Linked DNA regions of Arabidopsis thaliana. The protein of the gene in region 4 interacts with the protein of the main gene of each other region in a pairwise test. Each region holds a gene or a part of one and is shown on either strand. Other genes may lie near its edges. The genes, in order: CIPK9, CIPK1, MTN1 and CBL6.

Region 1 (5,860 bases), on a different chromosome or scaffold from region 4:
ATAATAGTACTCCAAGTTATAATTTCTGTTACGAGGCGAGAATAAACGTGGGAGAGGAAGGAAAAAAAGGTGCCGTGCGGTGCAACTAGATTTTACATATTTGTACACATATTTCACGATTGAATCTTTCAAGACATTATATGCTTTATCAAATTTTATATATATAACAATTAGATAAGAAACACAATCTGACCCGACTCTACTATTTATAATTATACGTATGAATCTCTAACTTCGTTACTAAAACGGCAAATACTAAACCCTGAAAGGAAACTGTGTGAGAAACAGTTAGGCCCCTTGACCATCTTTGTTCAACGTTGTCAACGAAAAAAAAATGGAACCATAAAGGATAATTAATTGTATCACAAAAAGACAAACACAAATTATTGAATATACCATCACTTATCAGTATATAATTTTATACAAATGCTTTAAATAACAAATATTATGTAGAAAAAGAGAAAAGAAACTTAACTTGGTCAATTTGATCATTTGTGTAAACGATGATGCGGAACATATGCGATAATAATGTTATTGGATGGCAAAAAAAAAAAAAAGTATTTTAGTTGGGCCCTAATGTTAATTCACAATCAAGCCTAAATTTGGTTAATGGGCCAATCTTTCTTATATATGTAGGACTCGGATGTTCGGTCTACTCGAACTATCTACAAACCAAGCTAAACCGAAAGTAAATACAAAATCAAACCAAATAATAGTTTGGTTTATATAGGTTTTAAATTTTAATCCATATAATCCAATAAGTTCCAACTCATAACCAGGAAAATAAAAAAAATGTGGAATGAAGAAGTTCAAATTGATAACCAAATGAATTGCTTTCATATGATGGTGACGTGATGTTTTTGTACCGGACTCAATTATTGGAACGAGTGGTTCATTGTGCATTATTTGCATTTTCTTTTGTTCGTAATATACTAACATATCTAAAAAATTATTGTATCATTATTACTAGTCATGCAATAAATCATCAACTCACACTGTCTGCCACACTTTTTTAATTTTTCTGCGTATTTTGGCATTATCATATGAAAGAAAATAAGAGAAACAAATAAAGGAAAGAAGAAAAATAAAAACATTATCACATTCTGTGAAATCTCTGAGTTTATCAGGAAGGATATGTGGGGTTCATATTCATACCGTTCCCTTTACTCACATCGTCACATGGAAAGATCAACTATTTCAATTATCTATTTATTTATTATCATATACTTTAAATAATCAAATTTAGAACCGTTACAAACAAAAATAAACAGCTACATCAAATTTAAACAAAAGTAAGTATATGCGAATATTATCATAGATTTAAACAAAATTTGACCAAGATATAACAATCATCATTTAACTACCAACATTTGATATATGTATTTATTGTTCTTAGGTAGTTTCCAACTTCTAACTAAAGACAAAAAAAAAAGTTATATTTAGAGAATATTTCTACATGAAAAGAATACAACTATATCAAATAATATGATAACAGTCAACTTTGAACATCAGTAGAATGGAATGAATCACTGAAAGATATACTCATATACACATAAAGATTAAGGACATCAAATCACATCCCTTACAAATAAAACCATATCCACATAAATTTAAAACCCCAAAATTTTCATAAAATCCATATACTTAAACAGGAGTTTCTGTATATAGTTACCACACAAGAACAAAATTATGGAATTTTTTTATATGAATGAAGAATGAACGTTACGAACGTACACAAGTACAAATAACACGGGACTGACGCGGAACAGAGCAAAATAATGATTTTTGACATTACGTGGCATACGGGACCCACAATACGCGCGTGACTCCCAGTCGCGCCTATTAAATCTCTCGCTCGTCCACTTTCTCTCGTCAGCCTTAAAACCAGGCAGCCACTAGAAGAAGGAGAGATATTGAGGGAGAAGAATCACATTGATAGATTCGCCGCCGATCTAGAGCCGTTGATTTTCTTAATCGGAAAAAGAAAATGAGTGGAAGCAGAAGGAAGGCGACGCCGGCGAGTAGGACGCGAGTAGGGAATTACGAGATGGGACGAACTCTCGGAGAAGGAAGCTTCGCTAAGGTGAAATACGCCAAGAACACCGTCACCGGAGATCAAGCCGCTATCAAAATCCTCGACCGAGAAAAGGTCTTCCGTCACAAAATGGTCGAACAGGTTCGTTAATTGTGTTTGGTTTGATCACGTAAAATGATTATGGATTTGTTTGTTTTTAAGTACTATAAAGAACAGTTTAATTTCGTGATTAGGGACCCACATGTCCTCCTAGGTTGGTGTTCGGTTATTAAGGTTAATGTTTGATTAAAGTGTTAACAATAATATTTTAAAATATCGAATTTTGTATGAATGTTTTTGTTTCTGTATATATCTACACGATGCTGATCTTAGTACGCATTGATCAAGATAACTATTAACTATGATATGGATATGGTTTTGAAGTTCGAGTAGCTTTGTTTTTGATTTGGTTCGATTTGAATCTGTTGAAGATTTAGTTTTGTATGCTATATATGTATGATTGGAAGTTATGAGCAAGATCTCGAAGATATAATGATCATAAAGTTTTATTTTTTTGTTGTTGTGCAGCTTAAAAGAGAAATATCTACAATGAAACTGATTAAACATCCAAATGTGGTTGAAATCATTGAGGTACGAAACTAATTAGTTATCATTCCTTAGATATTTTTTAAATTAAGTTTTGAATCTTAGCGTGTAAAACATCTCTCTGTGGTAGGTTATGGCGAGCAAAACGAAGATCTATATCGTTCTTGAGCTTGTCAATGGAGGTGAACTCTTTGATAAAATCGTAAGTAACCTAACTTAGAGAATCTTCCTCTCTTTTCTCTTCACAAATATTGACATATGTTCTCTGTCTTTCTCTCTTCTTACTCTTATGTTAATTCTTGGATTTAAATCATATACATAGGCGCAACAAGGGAGGCTTAAGGAGGATGAAGCTCGGAGATATTTTCAGCAGCTCATCAATGCTGTGGATTACTGCCACAGTCGAGGTGTCTACCACAGAGATCTCAAGGTCTTTCTTTTGTTTTTGTGCACTCTTCTTGTTTCCTGTGATTACGATATTCATTCTTCTTAGTTCTTATTCAAGTTTCTTTTGTTATCATCTGTTCCTTGTTGCAGCCTGAAAATCTGATCCTTGACGCAAATGGGGTTTTGAAAGTCTCTGATTTTGGGTTAAGCGCCTTCTCACGACAAGTTCGGGTAATGCCATTATATTTTTCACTTGGCAATTAATTTCTGATATATATAACCAAGATATCAATTTGAATGAAGTGTTCTAAGCATTGTTCTTTTGAATGCAGGAAGATGGTTTGCTTCATACAGCTTGTGGAACGCCAAACTACGTTGCCCCTGAGGTATTATGTACTAACTTTCAGCACTTAAAAAGGCAAAGAATATGAAATGTTCTGTAGATCCTCTTTGGAAAATAAGATTTTAAGGAATTCAAGAACTGCTAATACGTTTTTAAAAAGGAAGGAAATCTAACAAATGCTATACGTATATATAGACTTCATTTGCAGAATCTTCTTTATTTATGATGTATATAAGAGATATGCCTTTAATGTTGTCTACTGCATTGTGTTGGATTTGCTGGCAGGTTTTGTCGGACAAAGGCTATGACGGTGCAGCAGCAGATGTCTGGTCTTGTGGTGTCATTCTCTTTGTGCTTATGGCTGGTTACTTGCCTTTTGATGAGCCGAATCTCATGACATTATACAAACGTGTACGTGTAAATTATCTCTCCCTCTGCTTCTTGATCTTCTGCAGTACTTTTCTAGTCTCATCTTTGGTGTTTAATATATACTTTAGATATGCAAGGCTGAGTTTAGCTGCCCACCATGGTTCTCGCAAGGTGCCAAGAGAGTCATCAAGCGTATTCTCGAACCCAACCCTATTACCGTAAGTGCCTCTTACATGAAGTAATAGTTGTGAAAATGTGAACATGACATGCTGCCAACCATAGATTGTGCAAGAGCTTAAGTATGTACTTATTTCTGAAATGCAGAGAATAAGTATTGCAGAGTTGCTCGAAGATGAATGGTTCAAGAAAGGGTACAAGCCGCCATCATTTGACCAAGATGACGAGGACATAACCATAGATGATGTTGATGCTGCTTTTAGTAACTCCAAGGTAAACACCGCCATTTCCAAATTCTCCATCTGGTTGTGTATATCATAGTTCGGTTTAAGTAAACCAATGTATTGTTACCAACTAATATCACTCTTTTTGTGCTGCTACTCTAGGAATGTCTTGTAACTGAGAAGAAGGAGAAACCTGTATCCATGAACGCTTTCGAACTTATCTCTAGCTCAAGCGAGTTCAGTCTTGAAAACTTGTTCGAGAAGCAAGCGGTAAGAACTTTTTTCTACTTACAGTTTGTCTTGATTTTCTAAAATCATGCATAGGTTTTATCTAACTAAATCTGATTTGTTGTTGTTTGCAGCAACTTGTGAAGAAAGAAACGCGGTTTACTTCTCAACGATCTGCGAGTGAAATAATGTCGAAAATGGAAGAAACCGCAAAGCCATTAGGCTTTAATGTCCGTAAAGACAACTACAAGGTCTGTTCTTCTTCTTCTTCTTCTTCTTGATTTTGTTTGTGTCAACTAATGTCTTTGTAGCTTCGTTAAACATTGTTTAAGTAAACTTCGCAGATAAAAATGAAAGGAGACAAAAGTGGTCGTAAAGGTCAGCTCTCCGTAGCTACAGAGGTAAGAAAGAAAAAAATACTCCGGTTCAGTTCGGTTTTTGGATTTTGATGAATATCGTTATCTAATTGTTATGGTTTGGTAATCGGTTTAATAGGTGTTTGAAGTGGCGCCATCATTGCATGTGGTAGAGCTTAGGAAAACCGGTGGTGATACCCTCGAGTTTCACAAGGTATGTGATTCGGTTTGATCTTCATCAAAAACCGGTTCGGTTTTGATCCGGTTAACATCTCTAGTTTAGTGTTTAAATTGGTTTTATGTTTGAATCTCTTTTGCAGTTCTACAAAAACTTCTCATCTGGATTAAAGGATGTAGTCTGGAATACTGATGCAGCCGCTGAAGAACAAAAGCAATAAGAAATAACAAGTTGTTCAATTCAAAGTTTTTAATCAATGTTGAACATGTATAATGAATAGTAAACATTCTGGAGTTGGCAATATACAAGTATTGCTGACAAAAGAGCCAAACTAGAACTAGAAGTGGTCTATAGAGGTAGATCACCATAGGTTAGTCAATAGCCACATATGTGATCATCCTCAAACTCGGTTTGAAACCTATAAATCAAAGTTCAAACAATTCAATTAGGCAAAAAATACTCTGCAAGCTGGCTATTTGAGTATAGTTGAAAGTTGCAACGATGTTGTCGCTTTATGGCAACGCGTTACAATGACACAACATATATAACAATTTGGAAAACACAATGATAGAATTATTAAAGAGAGGTTATCTTAGCTACATAGATCTACGTTTGCAACCAAAAAAAAAAAGTTTTATTTTGATGTACAGTCACACATTGATGACGGAGTGGTTTCTAGTGAGGAGTTGGTGTTGAGCAGACCAACGTTAATTGCCCAATAAGTTGTGTGAGTTGTCTAATCTTTCAAATCAAACAGCCCGTAAAGCCCATAAAGTCGCAAATTTCGCATTCCAAAGTTTTTAAGAATGGAGAAACGTTCAGATTCAGAGAGTGTAGAGATTTTGGGTGATTGGGATTCACCTCCTCCGGAAGAAAGAATCGTAATGGTTTCTGTTCCCACTTCACCAGAATCTGATTACGCGAGATCGAATCAACCGAAAGAGATCGAATCTAGGGTTTCAGACAAGGAAACAGCGT
Region 2 (6,229 bases), on a different chromosome or scaffold from region 4:
CAGTGGAGCAAATTCTTTACGGTAGATGTAGACATTGGTGGTCGTGCTATGTTATCGTATGACAGTTTCTTCATCGACAAGGAGAAAGGAATGGCCTTGCTATGTGGGTTGTGAGACAAGTAACAGACTTGCGAGCAAGAACCTTGTATACATTGTTGGGGAGGACCGTGAATACACAGAAATCCATTTTGGCGAATGGCCTAAGTTCATTCCTTTTATGAACTCATGTGAGCCGTTTTATTTTCAATTATGTTCCAAGTTTGGTTCAGTATTAGTCGATACAGGTAAGGACGTAATTTCTTCAATCTCCTTTTTTTGTTTATTCGTTTTTGCGTTTTTGTAGTAAAATCGTTTGATTAATCTATGACTAGATATATTATTTTGATTCCTGGCTTATTTGCACTACATTCAAGTTCCAACTAAAACAAGAACAAGTTGTGAATTTGACTAACTTTAAAACTACAATTGTTACATTCCAGGACGCTAAATGTTGATAGGTCACATGACTCATGACTCTTGAGAGTATTTTATGAGACGAAAGCAACATAGCATAATACTAAAAATTTATATACGTAGATCGGTTGGTGCGGAATTGAATGATGTACAGATACAAACTAAACACATGTATATTATTTACAAAAATAATGAAGAGATTTTTTATGGGATCTTTTTTGCTAGTAGGCAGATTTGCCACACCAAATAATAATAAAAACAAATACAAAGGTAGTGAATAAAATCTCTAATTCTTGAGGAAAGATCTACGCCACGGTTTATACTTAAATGCAATTACTATTTGCACTAATCATATAAATCGAGCTCCTTTTATATATACTTAAGATAATAAATTATATGAACATGGATGGTGTGTTCCATATGATAAATTATTAGAGCTATGTATATCTCTTCAGCCGAAAACACCAACACCTAAGTTACTATCTCTTGCTCCGGCGAGGATGTGCCCACGTCTTTTAATAGTCTCTCGTACAACTGCACCAACCCCAATATCAAACATAAACATTTTTATCTTTGATATGTGTTTCTTCAGTCTAATTAAGAAATGACAATAGTGGCATACCTGTCTATATAAACATGAATCGCCATAAGATTTTCTTAGCTCAACCACGTTCAGTGACGGCTTTATCTCGAAAACCTGATATCATAAGAATTTCTTCTATTAGTCAAATAATCTCACTAAATAGTCTATTGAACAGTGAAATAATGTTTACGTAATAGTTAATATACCTCAGCTGTTACTGATAAACCAACTTGACCTTTCTGGTTTCTTTCTTCTTGTTTTACTCTTAACTGAAACAAAATACAGTTTAAAGTTTATAAACCTACAGATTTGAAATTCCAAGTTGCTAAGGAAGAGGAAGACCATGTTGTGAAGACCCACCTTGGCATGTTTCTTTTGTACACTGAATCCCATTTCTGTAACGGCTGTTTCGATTTTCTCCAGTAAATCTTTTGCTGAGCTATTTGAAGTGAATCTTATTCTCCTCTCTGATACATTCTGAGAAAGTAAAAGTATAACTCCTTTTTATTATACATTGGCTCAAGCAGAGAGCAGATCTTTGAAACAGAGTATTAGAAGATTAGTTACCTCTTGTTCAAAGAAACCGGACAGGTCAAGAAAGGAAGACATTCCGATTAACTGAAACGCATTGATGATGGTCGGTGAATCACTGCCCTTCCCTTCTTCTGATCCCTAGACCATTCAAAAGAGAGACAGAGAAATGAGGACATTGTACTTGACTCAAATGCAGTTGCGATAGAGAGTAAGGGTGGCAGATTCTTACGAGTTCTTGGATTGAGAAAGCATCATCGTCTGTGTCAACTTCTTCTTCGTCATCATCATCGGGAATTGAAGGAATGTACTCAAGTTTGAACCACTCGCTGGCTTTAATACCCACAACTGTGATCCTCGTGACTGGATTTGGATCAAGCATTCTCTTAATCATGGTTCTTGCACCCGGGGATAACCATCTTGGTATTGGTGGGTCTCCTTTACATATCTAGAAATCAAATCAATTATCAAGCTTATTTCTTCAAAATGTGTATTGAATTGGCATATATATAAGAAAAAATGAGGTTTACCTTCTGGTAAAGAACTGCAAGGTTTCTGTCGTCGAAAGGAAGACATCCGGTTAGAATCACATACAAGATTACACCACAGGACCATATGTCTGATGCTGCACCATCGTAGCCTCTGTTAGCTAAAACCTCAGGCGCAACGTAATTAGGACTTCCACAGGTTGTATGCAACAATCCGTCATCCTAAAATGCCAAAGAGAAAATTAGTTGTAACTCGAACGGATTCAACAATTATAATTCTGCTGTGATATGCTATGGTTTTAAGATGATATTTTCAAGTACCCTAAAATGCTGAGGCAGAGCACTGAGGCCAAAATCAGTGATCTTTATATGTCCCTTTGCATCAAGAAGAACATTCTCTAGCTGCAATATAGAAAAACATCAGTACACTATTCCATAAGGTTTCCATGGTTTGAAACACAGTGAGAGAATCACAGACCTTGAGATCCCTGTGGAAAACACCTTTGCTATGACAGTAGCTGATTCCATCGATAAGCTGCTGAAACATTTTTCTTCCATCAGTTTCTGTTAATTTTCCGTTGGAAACCTGAGAGTTATCATCAAAGTGTGAGTTTAGCAAAAATGACACTCGTCAAAAAAAGAAAAAAAATCTTTTTTGCTTTGAGCATAGAGGCTAGTAAGAGTCTTACAATTCTGTCGAACAATTCTCCTCCGGTAACAAGTTCCATTACCATATTAATTTTCGTTTTGCTAGCCAAGACCTGCATGATTACCATAAGGAAGAGGCCATTAGTTTCAAGGTAAAGGAACAGTGAGTTCTGAGGTAAGATGTTTCATGTTTGAGAATCCAAAAGATTAGTCACAAGAAAGAAAAAGAAACATTTAGAATTCGAATTGCATTCATATCCACAGATTACATAAAAAACACTTAGTTGTCCAAGACACGACAAAGTTAGTCACGAGCTTAAAAAGTGGACCACGTGTATCAAATAAGTGAAGATCCACAATGGTTGCTTAACCAAAAGTCACGATTAATCTCGTGTTAAATGGCAAAGAGGAAGAAGCAATCGAAATAATTAGAAGTCAACAATAAAACGCAAAGATACAGCAAGCAATGACCCATACAATAATCATCTGAAATAATACTATATGAATAAAATAAAATAAAAAGTAAAACTAAGCATAAGATCAAAGAGGGTCCACATGATAAAAAGCTTAAAAGGGTACTAAGATTAAGCAATTATATGATGATCAAGCGACATATCCTGCATTTTTCACGATAATTTTTTTTAGGACCCCACCTTTGAATTGAACAGGTCAGATTTGTGTTACCGGCCAAGCCACCATATCAAATAATGGAATAATTAACTTAATAATTATGTAAAATGATGCGGCTAATTGGCAACGTGAAAAACAAGCTAAATGAAACATGTTTGGGTACGAAACCAAATGACTTGTAAGAATATTCCTAAACAGTAAAAAAAAAGATCCAAAAAGCAAACAACAATTATCCAAGATTTGAGGTGTTTTTAATCCTCGTCAGCTCCATTTTGATAGATAAAGAAACAACAATGAAGAAATTAACTAAAAATAGTTTACTAAACCTAATCTAACAATCTAAAATGACGAATCAAAATTTGAATAACCATCCATAAGCAGGCAATAATTCGATCACTTTCTGTCATACTCAGGTATATACTAAATAAACAGAAACAAGCAAACAGAAGAATAATCAAAAATTGTTATACTAATTAAGCAATAAACCTTTTTACTTCCTAATCACAGAATCATTTCGATAATCCAAAGATGATTATACACAAAAATTTAAGATACGGACCTCATGTAATCTAACAATGTGGGGATGTTTCAACATTTTCAGAGTCCGGATCTCTCTTTTTATCTGCACAGATTCATAAGAATTGGATCTGTCAAATTACAAATTTAGTAAAAGAAGAGAAAAGAAAAAAATTAGAAATGATGATAGAGAGATGGGAACCTGTAAGGAGAAGTTGAGATCGGCGATACGAGACTTGTCGATGATTTTAACGGCGAAGGAATGACCGGAGACGGTATCTTTAGCGAATTTAACTTTACCGAAATTACCCTCGCCGAGCGTCCTCCCTAGCTCGTATTTCCCCAGACGCATTCCCTTCTCCGCCTTCTTCTCCTCCTCTTGCCTTCTCACCATCCAATCAATCTCCTATTTCAATTTATTTCCCAACAAATTAACAGACAACCAAATCGATTTCTCGCTTGAATCTTCCGATTAGATTACTATTAATTCCGTTATTGAAAGAGGGGAAGTAGATTATTGTAGCTGTGCAGGTATGTGTGTGAGGGAAGGAGATATATATATATATATATATATAGGTGTAGGTAAAGAGACGAGGAAGATTGGGAAGAAGAAGAAGAAGAGAAGAAAGTGCCGGTTGAAATTGAAGAGAGGACGCTACTTCTCTTTGTTTCCTCTTCTCTTCTTATTATATTCACTTCTTTTTATATATATATTCCTCGTTAACTATTTTTTTTTGGTTTTTGTTAGCCAGATTTTTATTGGATAACTAGAAACATATTAATCTTCACAAAAGAAAAAGATTAATCTAACAAACCATATAAGATTTGATATTATCGAAATAAGATTTTTTTAGTAGGGTACTTATCGAGATTTATTATTATTGGTCAAATAAAACTCCTATCAAATGAAATTATGTCTATGTTCATTATAAGGAGAAATTTAAAAAGGATCTTATTTCTGTCAACAATCAAAATATGGAAAATATACGCAAAGAGTATATTGATTTATCAGAATAATTCTATATATGATGTATATTGCGAATATGTGTGTATTTTATGTGTGTACTTGTATGCATCAATAGGCCCACGTCATTTGTTGCATTAGTTTTATGTTGAAATTAAATAATAATAGATGAAAAAATATATTCATAAGAACTTTTGGTTTAAAGTCAGAAAGAAACGCTACAAAAAGATTGGTGCTTGCAGTTTTATAGTTCTTGTTACTGGAGCAGTTTTGATTTGGCTTTCGGATTTTAGTTCTTAAATGTAGAAACAAACTTGTATACACATAAAAGTTCACAAGGAATCACATACTTTCCAAGTTTTCATGTTGGAGTTACTTAAAAGTTGAAGTCCAACTATGATTTCTTAAAGTTACAGTTTAGTTTTGTACCTTTGTTATAAAAGAGGAGATCAAAAGAGACCTAAACTTAAGATCAAGTTATATATACACACTACAACAAATTAAACAACGCGTTCATAACCCATTCGTTTCTATGGAAATTTTGAACTTATGACTTGGTTTCATAGACAGTAGGTCTTCATTGTCGTGGCATTTTCAGTTTAAGAGATAATTTGGTAATAAACCATTTATATACGTCGATATCGTGCATGAATTGATAATTAGATTTAAAACACTTTTTTACGATAGTGCTTTCGGTTTGGGGGGAAATAAACATGGTGCTTTCAGTTTTATATTGTTTCTGTCTTTGTAGACTAATAATATTAGTTGTAGACTTTTACAAATTTTTAATTCGCAATATAGGCAAGCGTTTAGAAACACAATCGTTAATGATACACTTAAAGTTAATATTTTTTAAAAAAAACTATGGTAATTTATACTATATTTCATGTCTCGTCCTTTGTCGGCTCACAATTAATTAAATCACATGGAACCATTCAATTTATATTTGTTTTTCTTATGCGGTTTGTGTATTTAATTAAAATAAATAAATTGTTTTTGAGAATCCAAAAGTTTCAATAAACCAGGGCCTGGGCACCAGGCTAATCTCTTGAATTTGGAAAACTCCATATTATATCTTTTTATTGGATACATAGATTATTGAAGAATGTAGTGGTTCTTAGCTCTCGTCAGTCGTCCCAACATATTTTTGGTAATGAAAAGGTCATATGTCACATGTTTCTCTACACATCTTTTTCCCAAGGTTTTTATTAAAATTTGTAGTTAGTAAATGATGTGGCTGAAATGAATAGATACTATATAGAAAAGGAGAAAAAACCAATAATTAAAATTATTCGAGTCTCTCAAACGTGTCAAAATGGCCGGTGATAGTATTGCTGCCGGCAGTGAGTAACATATTGATTGATCTATGTTATCAGAACCTCTCTCTCTCTCTCTTTTGTGTGTAGATGACTAGGT
Region 3 (4,280 bases), 8.9 Mb from region 4:
TACTCGATTGGATTAGTACCTTAAAAGTCGATTTTGAATAGCTGAATACATTGTCTAATGTGCTGAAAATAGGTTGTGGACACGCGGGGACGGTTGCTTGTAGCATTGGGTTATGGATTGTGGCCATCAATGGTTCTGATCTCAGAAATTGTTCAAACTTTCATCTTGGCAGATTTCTGTTACTACTACGTCAAAAGGTACGCATTAGTCCTTCACTTCAACAGTTTAGCTATTTAGCTCTTTGTATATATCTCAAAAGTTTCAACATTTTTCTTTACAGCGTTTTCGGAGGCCAGCTTGTTCTCCGGCTACCGTCTGGAGTAGTATAAGTTCAAAAGATAGAAATACCCCAACGATGTCCTGCGATGAGCTTGACGGAAATTCTAATTGGGAAAGATAGCTCAATTTTTCTTTACCTCTGATTTCATCGTTTATGTGTCTTGAGGTTTCACCAAGTGTCTCGGTTACGAATTAATTTTACAGTGTTGTATATTTTGCCTATCAAGGGATTTAACGTCTTTCAGGTCGATAAGTTATCTTTGAAATTGTTTCTTTACCAAAATTTAAGCAACACTAGGGAGAGAACGTCTTATAACTTGAAATTTATTAACGAGAAATATGATCACTGGAAATCAGTGAAACTGCAACAAGCACGTTGAACGCATTTTAAAAAATCACTCTCCATAAAAAAGGAAGAGAACAGAAGTTAAAGGTCCGAAAGGTTTCTCCCATTGATGAAGTTGATCACTTTAGTAGCAGTTCCCTCTAATGCAGCGGTCACAACTGTCAAGTTCTGCAAGAACTCTTCTGCTGTAGGTTTATCTCCGTCCACTAGATCGGTCACGGCTTTGAGGAACACGACTGGTATTTTCAGAAGATCAGCCACATACGCCACGGCAGCACCCTGAAGAATCCAGAGCCAAAAGAGTTTCAAAACAACAGTTTCATTGATTTTCTGGTTAGATTCAGTAATAAGAATTGTTAACATTACACTACCTCCATGTCCTTTAGCGTAGCATCATTGGCAATGATCAATGTTTCATCTTGCGTGGACATATCCAACGAGTCACCAGTAGATAACCTGCCAATCTGAACCACCCCAATTTTGTCAAAATTGAAATAGTTAAAAGAGTAAGTAGCATCTTGAGTCTATTAAATACCTTCAAATTGAGTTCCTTGAGGAGATTGGGTGTCGAGAATGCCTGACGGAGACCAACTCCATACAGATCAAACATCTAGAGAGATAAACAAACATTGCTCAGGAACTTGCAAGATGAACTGGCAAAAAGGGAATCATCACTAAAGATGGAAAAAAGAAAGAAAGGAAGATGAACCTACCGGAATTGGTATTCTTCTATCATGAAACACAACATCAGATACAAGGAATACATCGCCTATGTTGGCTCCTTTGACCTGCAAATGTTCAGCCAATCAGCACTTTCATTACATGAAAATAAACCAACTTTCACAACATAAAAATAGAGATATGGAGAGAGAGAGAGATCTTTTATGATGCAACTCAAATCTCAGAGTTGAGTAAACGAGCAGTAACAAAATCAAACCCAAACCACAAGTAAAGAAAGAAGAGAGGACGTGGTTCTTAGCAAGGATGCTGGAAGTCAAGACAGAGCACACGAGAAGTAAAAGAACTGTACCTTGAAGCCACCGCAGGTTCCGGCATTGATTATGATGTCAGGTTTTAATGCTTGGATGGAAGCAAAAGTTATGAGAGAAGCTGGAACAGTTCCAACACTATCGATCCCTGGAGAGAAATCTCAGTTAGTAGCATAAAAAAAGTGCATTCATTTTCCCTCATACCAAACAATGCAGCGACTTGAGAAACCAAAGCTACTATACTAAAATGCTGAGAGATTCACAGGCTAATTATCATATCTTTGAGAGCATTGAGTGCAAAGCTTACCTAAAGCTGCATCTCTTCCGGGGCAAACTACATTGATTCGAAGATCTTTATGCACGCCGTGATACAGAACCCAGGGCAATCCTTTACCAAGCCTGCAAAAAAGTAAACTTTGAAGTGAGAGATTCATGGAGATCAAATCCAAACAAGCAAAATCGAAAAAAGGAGAGCTCTTAACGGCGAATCAGTAGTTTCAGAGAGTCCGAACTTGTTGACCAAAGGAAGAGCCTCCGCTTGCATAGCTGCAGCTCCGTCAGAAACACACAAAAAGTAAGTAAGAAGACGAAGAAGAAATCGATCGAATCGGAAACTTCATAAATCATAAAGTACCGATGACGAAGACGACTGAGGAGATCGGTCGAAGAATCTCCGATTGAGCATCGACCTCAGGTTCTTCGATGTCACTTAATCCATCTCCATGAGGAGCCATAACCTTATCCCTCTCTTCCGATTCTCGGCGATGCGTTTGATTCCCAGGAAAAATCCGAGAATCGGAAAGAAACGGCTGGAAACTCCGGCGAATGAGAGATACAGTTTATTCGTTTTTGGACCTTTTGGTCCTCTTTTGTGTTTCCACTTACCAATAATAATATAATAAAAACAAATTATTTTTTTGTGCTAATGACCGTAATTAATTAAATTTAGCTAAGTTTTTGTACTAATCTGGTCTCCTTGTAGTTTTAGCCAAGCTCTTGTAATCAAATTTTCAAATTCTTCAATTAACTTCAGAATATTTATTTCACACTTTTAAAGATAACTCAAATGTTTCATCATAGCCATTCAAGCATCATAAACGTAAACAAATTTTAACGAAATTAAAAAACAGAGTAAACATTGCATCCCATGGTCATTAGAAAAAAAAAAAAAAAGGCATGAGTAGAATCACCACACCAACAAGAGGAAACCCCAAACTTTCAATTTTATACATCTGAAAGTAAAGACGGTTTTCCTCATTAATCTAAAACTTTTGGGGGTAAACACTCAAAAGTCAAAACCATATAACATTTGTTGCTGCTAGTGCTGCTTATTCCCTTCTATGATTAGTTTGAAGGCTCCTCTGTATCAGTCGAAGTTGACGGCAGAAAGGTAGCCGAGGTGAGCGGCTCGTGAACCACCGAGTTAGAGGAAACCGATATGGGACTACCCTCGAGCTGCAACATTATACTCCCCAATATCTCTGCCATTGTTTTCTTAAACTCTTCTTCCTTCACCACATTTCCATCATCTCCATTCACCATCTTCAACGCTTCCATTATCATATTATCCATCTTATAAACAAAAACAAACTTAACTAATCAATGCCGTTCAAAAAATAAAAATAAAAATTCACTAATAATTTTTGATTAAAACACTAATTCTGGTTTCATTTGTTTAACAAATAATTGTAACATGTAAATTCAAAGGCAAAATAAACAATTTAAAAGACAAAATAATTTAGACGGGGCATTATTTACCTGGGACACAGCGCCTATTGGTGGTAAAGTGGCCGATGGTGCAACAGTGTCAAGCACAGCTCGTAGATATCCTTTAGACACCTTACCCTGACGGTCTTTTGGAATCGTCTCCATGGCAACGTTTAGTGCCTGCGACCAAACCGTTCCGGATCATCATCACTCGTTACCATCATTTAAAAAGTTTTCCTTTAGCATAAAAGCTAGATAACATATATATGTATGGTAGTTTACCTTATCGAATTCGAATTTATTGGACAAGAGCCTCCTGATACCGCTCCCATCAAAGGTGTTTTCGCTGTGAGCAACGATCACGGGCTGTTCATTGAGACGCTGAGCCACACTCTCCACGACTCTCTTGAATGCTTCCAAGAATCTCTCCTGAGACGCGCTTTTCTCTCTTTTATCTTCTTCATCAAGACAAGAGTCAACAATTGGTTCTACGATGTTGCTCATCACCTGTTACAAGGACTTTGCTTTTTAGGCAAAACTCAGTTGTCTCTAGCAACATATATAACATCAAATACGAACTTGGATACATATTACGTATCATATGTACTCCCACCATGTAAGTATCGTTCTGATATTTTGTACAACAAAAAAAAAACACCCGAAAAGTATTTTTACGGTTTTGGTAAAAATACAAAAACAAACGGTTCTTAATATTATATGCTTTATTTTATCAATCATATAAATTTAGATTTGAAGTTAAATTAGGAAAATCCATAGCTTAACAGAAATATATAAAAATAAAATAAATAGGTACCCATGGGTCGTTGGAAGGAGGCATTCCATGATCAACAGAAAGAGACTGGAGAGCTTTGACGATACAATCACGGAGCGATGCGTCCTTGCTACTGGAGAGCTCTGAGAAAACAGAAATGCTCTCGATTTCATATCCAGGGCCGTGG
Region 4 (3,753 bases):
TAGGCAGACCCAGCCAAAAAATTAAGTGGGTGAAAAAACGTTACACTGGTTAACATAATTATTGGGCTTCGTGGCTTCTCTCTCGTTGACGGAGAACTTAACGGTGTGTGATTCCAAGTCGGATTAGAACCTCCGTTATATATCAATGGGAGTTTTGGCCGCTTGTTGCTGTTGAGTTGTGTTGTCTTTGATTGAAACGACGGCGTATACGTCCATTTTGTCCGTGACATATTCGATATGGTTGACGTCACTAGCTGATACAATTTTGAGCTCAAGAGTTGGGTTCTCCACGGCTCTTTGCAACTGTGATGAAGATATTTTCGAGAGATCTAGTATTGTTTGTTCTAATCTTGGGAAAATGTCCAAGTATACAATGATCTATGAGATTCAAGTTAACCAGTTTCTCATTCACATGAATCTTTCCTTTCTCATGTTAAAACTATCTCGCCATTTGGGTTCCCTGTAAAATATGGTTGTCCGGATTTTACTCCAACTAACAAATTTAGATAGAAAGAAAGAAGAAGCAACAAAATAAAACTAATGCCGAGTAAAAGAATCAATTTGCACACTCCAACAGATAAGATAAACCGAACAAGTTTGCGGATACACAAACATGTGAGGTAATGCTGCTTTCAGAACGTATTTATTAAAAATAAAGAGGAGGGTTGTAATAGAGTAATGGAGAAGAAGATAAGAATCAAGTATGAATGATCTTGTAAAGGGTTTTGGTCTTTCTTCACATCCCTGATCATCCATCCAGCTCACTAGGAGTGTCTGTCACTATAGTGTGAAATACAAAATTTGGAAACGTCTTTGTTACGTCTCTACACAAAACACAACATACAAAAACATGTTAGTCCCGCACGAAGAAGATAATAAGGCAAATAACATGGCTAGCTTACTTGAGATGTTGAAGGCTCATGTTCTGTAACAGAGAGGGGTGGCGCAACACAAGACTCCTCCACTCTTCCTTATCAATCTTCCCGTCCAGTTTAGTATCAGCTTCTTCAAATGTCTACACACACCAATCAGTTTTTACATCTCTTGTCAAAGATTAAATATGAGAATCCTAGTTAGTGTCAATGGAGGAGATCAACCAAACCCACCTTGTCTATGATGCTCTCAATCACATGATCAGAAAGGTTCATGCCAGATTCAGCTAGAGTCCGCACAACCATTTGCTTCACCTCCTGTCTCTTTATATAACCTTGCTGATTCAGATCATACAGCTTGAAAGAGACTGCAGAGACAAAAGATGAGCTTGATCCAAGGTTTGGATATGACAAAAAAAAAGAAGGTCAAGTCTCTCTCGACCACTTACACTCAATCTTATCCTCAAATTTAGCATTAGGGTGAAAGACCGAAAGTGAACGAGCAAAGGCTTCAAAATCTAGAATCCCAGTATTCTTGGTATCAAACAAGTCAAACACCTGCAAAGCTTGAAGTATGAGTGTACAGCAAGGAAACTCATATAAGTGAGTTACAAGTCTATCTAATTTACCCTATCAGCAAAAAGGCTTCTCGTTGTGTTCATTTTGAATAGTACCAATTGAAATTGTTCCTGCAATATATTTGAAAGGATCCTAGTGAATGTAGAGGAACAGAGAGATATAGTACTCGTGTCCGACTATGGATTCTTGCATACCTTGTCGATAAGCCCGTTTTTGCTAATGCTCTTGAACAGTTCGTAAAGAGCTTCAATCTCATTCACTGTAACTGCATTTGGTACATAAAGCCATTGTTGGGGTTGTGACAAATAAAAATAGTAAAAGTAAATGTAGGGGTAGACACATACACACAGTGCCTCTAGCCACATCCTTAGGGTTCTGACGAACCTTGGGAGGATCAGCATCACAACAAGTCAACAGAATTAAGGCTAAGTGCTTTAATCCATCTAAACATTGCATCATCATCTCTCCCAAAAGTCACTATGTCCATGCCTACCACAAACAGAAAAAAGGTTAAATCCATTGAATGTCAACAGAAACCCTCTAAACATATGGCATCAAGAAAAAAAATCAAGAATCGAACATAAATTTGCCGATCCAATGGAGACATCAAATGAATCTAGTCTTGACTTTTTTGAGAGAAGAGAAGAAGATGAACCAAAGCAATATACCTATTCTTTTTTTCTCGTTAGCGTGTAAAGAAGCTTCAGATCACGACTTGTTCCAAGAGTGTTTATTTTTTTGACCACGATCTGATATTTCTCTCTCTCCATAAAAGTTTTTGTTGGCTACAGAGACATGGGAAAGGATCTACAAGTTCGTTGGCGTAAATAAGTCAACTCTTAGTTGGTGACCACTCTAACAAGTTGACATTTCGAGAGAGAGAGAAAAAGGAAGATACTATGATTCATTCATCATAACTAACAAGATTCAGAAGACCAAAAAAAGTCTGTTTTAGGGAATAACATTCACAAAACAAGCCTGAAGGTGAAGTTGATACGCTTTGGCAAAGAATGAATCCAGCCCTTCTGACCACCAACTATCTATGTTTTTCAATGTCAAACTTTGTTGATCTTCTCTGTTTCTTCTTTTTGACCTCTTCCTCCTCACAGGTCCTTTGTAATTATTTAACAGCAAGCTGTTGAGTCAGCTTCCAAGAAGCGCTTTGTAAACCTGACGAGACAAAAGATAAATGTTGGTTCCAAGAACACAAGCGACTTCTCGCATATAAGAGGTTCAATTTTTCTAGTTGATACGGCCAAACCAACAAAAGTCTCTGGATTCTGAAGACGAACCAATCAAAAGTGAATGGTAAAGATGTTAAATTTGCTTCCTCTTTTTTTATATACCAAACAACATACCATTCAACTTTATGATGTAAATTTTATTGTTTGTTTTGTTGGGATTAGTTTGAAATAAGTGTTCCCAAGTCAGCACAGGCTTATACTGCAAGACCATCACAATCTCACTTCCACTCTGAATCACAGATATTAACTAACTAGGCTAGGCTCTCTCTATATGTACTCAAGGATTATTTCCTTCTCTATCTCTATCTCTTATCTTGGTTGTTATATGTTTCCATCATCTATGAGGAATAGTTGAGTGGTGGAAAACAAATATCAACCAAAACAGAAAACTTGATATAGCCATAAACTCAACTGGTGGGAAAAGAAAGACATTGACCACAAAAACATAAATCTGGCCACTTCAAAGTTTACATCTTTTGAAACATAGAGCATTACCAAACGAGTGAGTTAATGAATTGAATACAACATCTATCTAATAATTGGTGAGAATGATGACCATTGATGTGCCTACCACTGATTAGACTGAGACCAAATGTGGGGTGTTGGGGGGTAAATTCAACCAAATCAAACTATAGGGTAATAAATGCAATAAAGAAAAAACAAAGAGATGAAAGTAAAGAGAGAGCAGAAAATGTGAGTGGGGGAAGATGGAGAGTGGTATGGGAACAACAACAATTGATGCTATGACAAACAACAACAGCAAGAAATTTGTGTGAGAGTAGAGAGTCTTGCTTCAGTTGAATCAAAGATTGGTCCTTTTTTTTTCGTTTTCTCTTTCCTGCTTTTTTTGTTTGTAGTTTCTGATCTCTCAGGAAGGCTTTTTATAAATTTGCCCTCAATTTCTCCGTCCCTACTACTCTTTTTGATCAATTTCTACGGGAAAAAGCACCAATCTTTAAACCCGGGCATGTCCTTGTAATCGAGTATGTTGTGTAAGTGATGAATTTGTGGTGAGATCTGGTGAGAAGTTTCCTCTTTTTTCTCAGATTGCGGTAAAA

The links.
Region 1: the proteins of CBL6 (region 4) and CIPK9 interact in a two-hybrid assay, tested with the Arabidopsis thaliana proteins (one study listed by BioGRID).
Region 2: the proteins of CBL6 (region 4) and CIPK1 interact in a two-hybrid assay, tested with the Arabidopsis thaliana proteins (one study listed by BioGRID).
Region 3: the proteins of CBL6 (region 4) and MTN1 interact in a two-hybrid assay, tested with the Arabidopsis thaliana proteins (one study listed by BioGRID).

Annotation. Positions count from the first base shown.
Region 1 is NC_003070.9:63,640-69,499, reverse strand, and holds CIPK9 (CBL-interacting protein kinase 9), read left to right. Parts: upstream 1-1,874; 5' UTR 1,875-1,987; coding exon 1,988-2,176; intron 2,177-2,602; coding exon 2,603-2,665; intron 2,666-2,750; coding exon 2,751-2,822; intron 2,823-2,942; coding exon 2,943-3,050; intron 3,051-3,157; coding exon 3,158-3,238; intron 3,239-3,339; coding exon 3,340-3,393; intron 3,394-3,635; coding exon 3,636-3,761; coding exon of another isoform or gene 3,762-3,767; intron 3,768-3,847; coding exon 3,848-3,937; intron 3,938-4,043; coding exon 4,044-4,169; intron 4,170-4,282; coding exon 4,283-4,390; intron 4,391-4,482; coding exon 4,483-4,599; intron 4,600-4,692; coding exon 4,693-4,749; intron 4,750-4,843; coding exon 4,844-4,930; intron 4,931-5,024; coding exon 5,025-5,102; 3' UTR 5,103-5,333; downstream 5,334-5,860. Other genes in the region: AT1G01130 (CBL-interacting Serine/Threonine-kinase), read left to right, coding at 5,689-5,860. UniProt on the Arabidopsis thaliana protein: CIPK serine-threonine protein kinases interact with CBL proteins. Binding of a CBL protein to the regulatory NAF domain of CIPK protein lead to the activation of the kinase in a calcium-dependent manner. Involved in K(+) homeostasis under low-K(+) stress.
Region 2 is NC_003074.8:5,988,385-5,994,613, forward strand, and holds CIPK1 (CBL-interacting protein kinase 1), read right to left. Parts: upstream 4,618-6,229; 5' UTR 4,244-4,617; coding exon 4,052-4,243; intron 3,956-4,051; coding exon 3,893-3,955; intron 3,695-3,892; exon of another isoform or gene 2,832-3,694; coding exon of another isoform or gene 2,817-2,831; coding exon 2,745-2,816; intron 2,642-2,744; coding exon 2,534-2,641; intron 2,458-2,533; coding exon 2,377-2,457; intron 2,278-2,376; coding exon 2,098-2,277; intron 2,016-2,097; coding exon 1,800-2,015; intron 1,709-1,799; coding exon 1,604-1,708; intron 1,514-1,603; coding exon 1,397-1,513; intron 1,306-1,396; coding exon 1,243-1,305; intron 1,151-1,242; coding exon 1,076-1,150; intron 988-1,075; coding exon 925-987; 3' UTR 540-924; downstream 1-539. Other genes in the region: AT3G17500 (F-box family protein), read left to right, coding at 1-114. UniProt on the Arabidopsis thaliana protein: CIPK serine-threonine protein kinases interact with CBL proteins. Binding of a CBL protein to the regulatory NAF domain of CIPK protein lead to the activation of the kinase in a calcium-dependent manner.
Region 3 is NC_003075.7:18,112,649-18,116,928, forward strand, and holds MTN1 (methylthioadenosine nucleosidase 1), read right to left. Parts: upstream 2,529-4,280; 5' UTR 2,349-2,528; coding exon 2,249-2,348; intron 2,161-2,248; coding exon 2,097-2,160; intron 2,014-2,096; coding exon 1,922-2,013; intron 1,763-1,921; coding exon 1,656-1,762; intron 1,414-1,655; coding exon 1,339-1,413; intron 1,236-1,338; coding exon 1,161-1,235; intron 1,090-1,160; coding exon 997-1,089; intron 905-996; coding exon 707-904; 3' UTR 513-706; downstream 1-512. Other genes in the region: AT4G38790 (ER lumen protein retaining receptor family protein), read left to right, coding at 73-197, 281-329; AT4G38810 (Calcium-binding EF-hand family protein), read right to left, coding at 2,959-3,186, 3,373-3,501, 3,604-3,828, 4,136-4,280. UniProt on the Arabidopsis thaliana protein: Enzyme of the methionine cycle that catalyzes the irreversible cleavage of the glycosidic bond in 5'-methylthioadenosine (MTA) to adenine and 5'-methylthioribose.
Region 4 is NC_003075.7:9,241,757-9,245,509, forward strand, and holds CBL6 (calcineurin B-like protein 6), read right to left. Parts: upstream 2,157-3,753; 5' UTR 2,120-2,156; intron 1,941-2,119; 5' UTR 1,914-1,940; coding exon 1,796-1,913; intron 1,717-1,795; coding exon 1,646-1,716; intron 1,562-1,645; coding exon 1,502-1,561; intron 1,431-1,501; coding exon 1,322-1,430; intron 1,241-1,321; coding exon 1,107-1,240; intron 1,016-1,106; coding exon 903-1,015; intron 825-902; coding exon 749-824; 3' UTR 543-748; downstream 1-542. UniProt on the Arabidopsis thaliana protein: Acts as a calcium sensor. CBL proteins interact with CIPK serine-threonine protein kinases. Binding of a CBL protein to the regulatory NAF domain of a CIPK protein lead to the activation of the kinase in a calcium-dependent manner.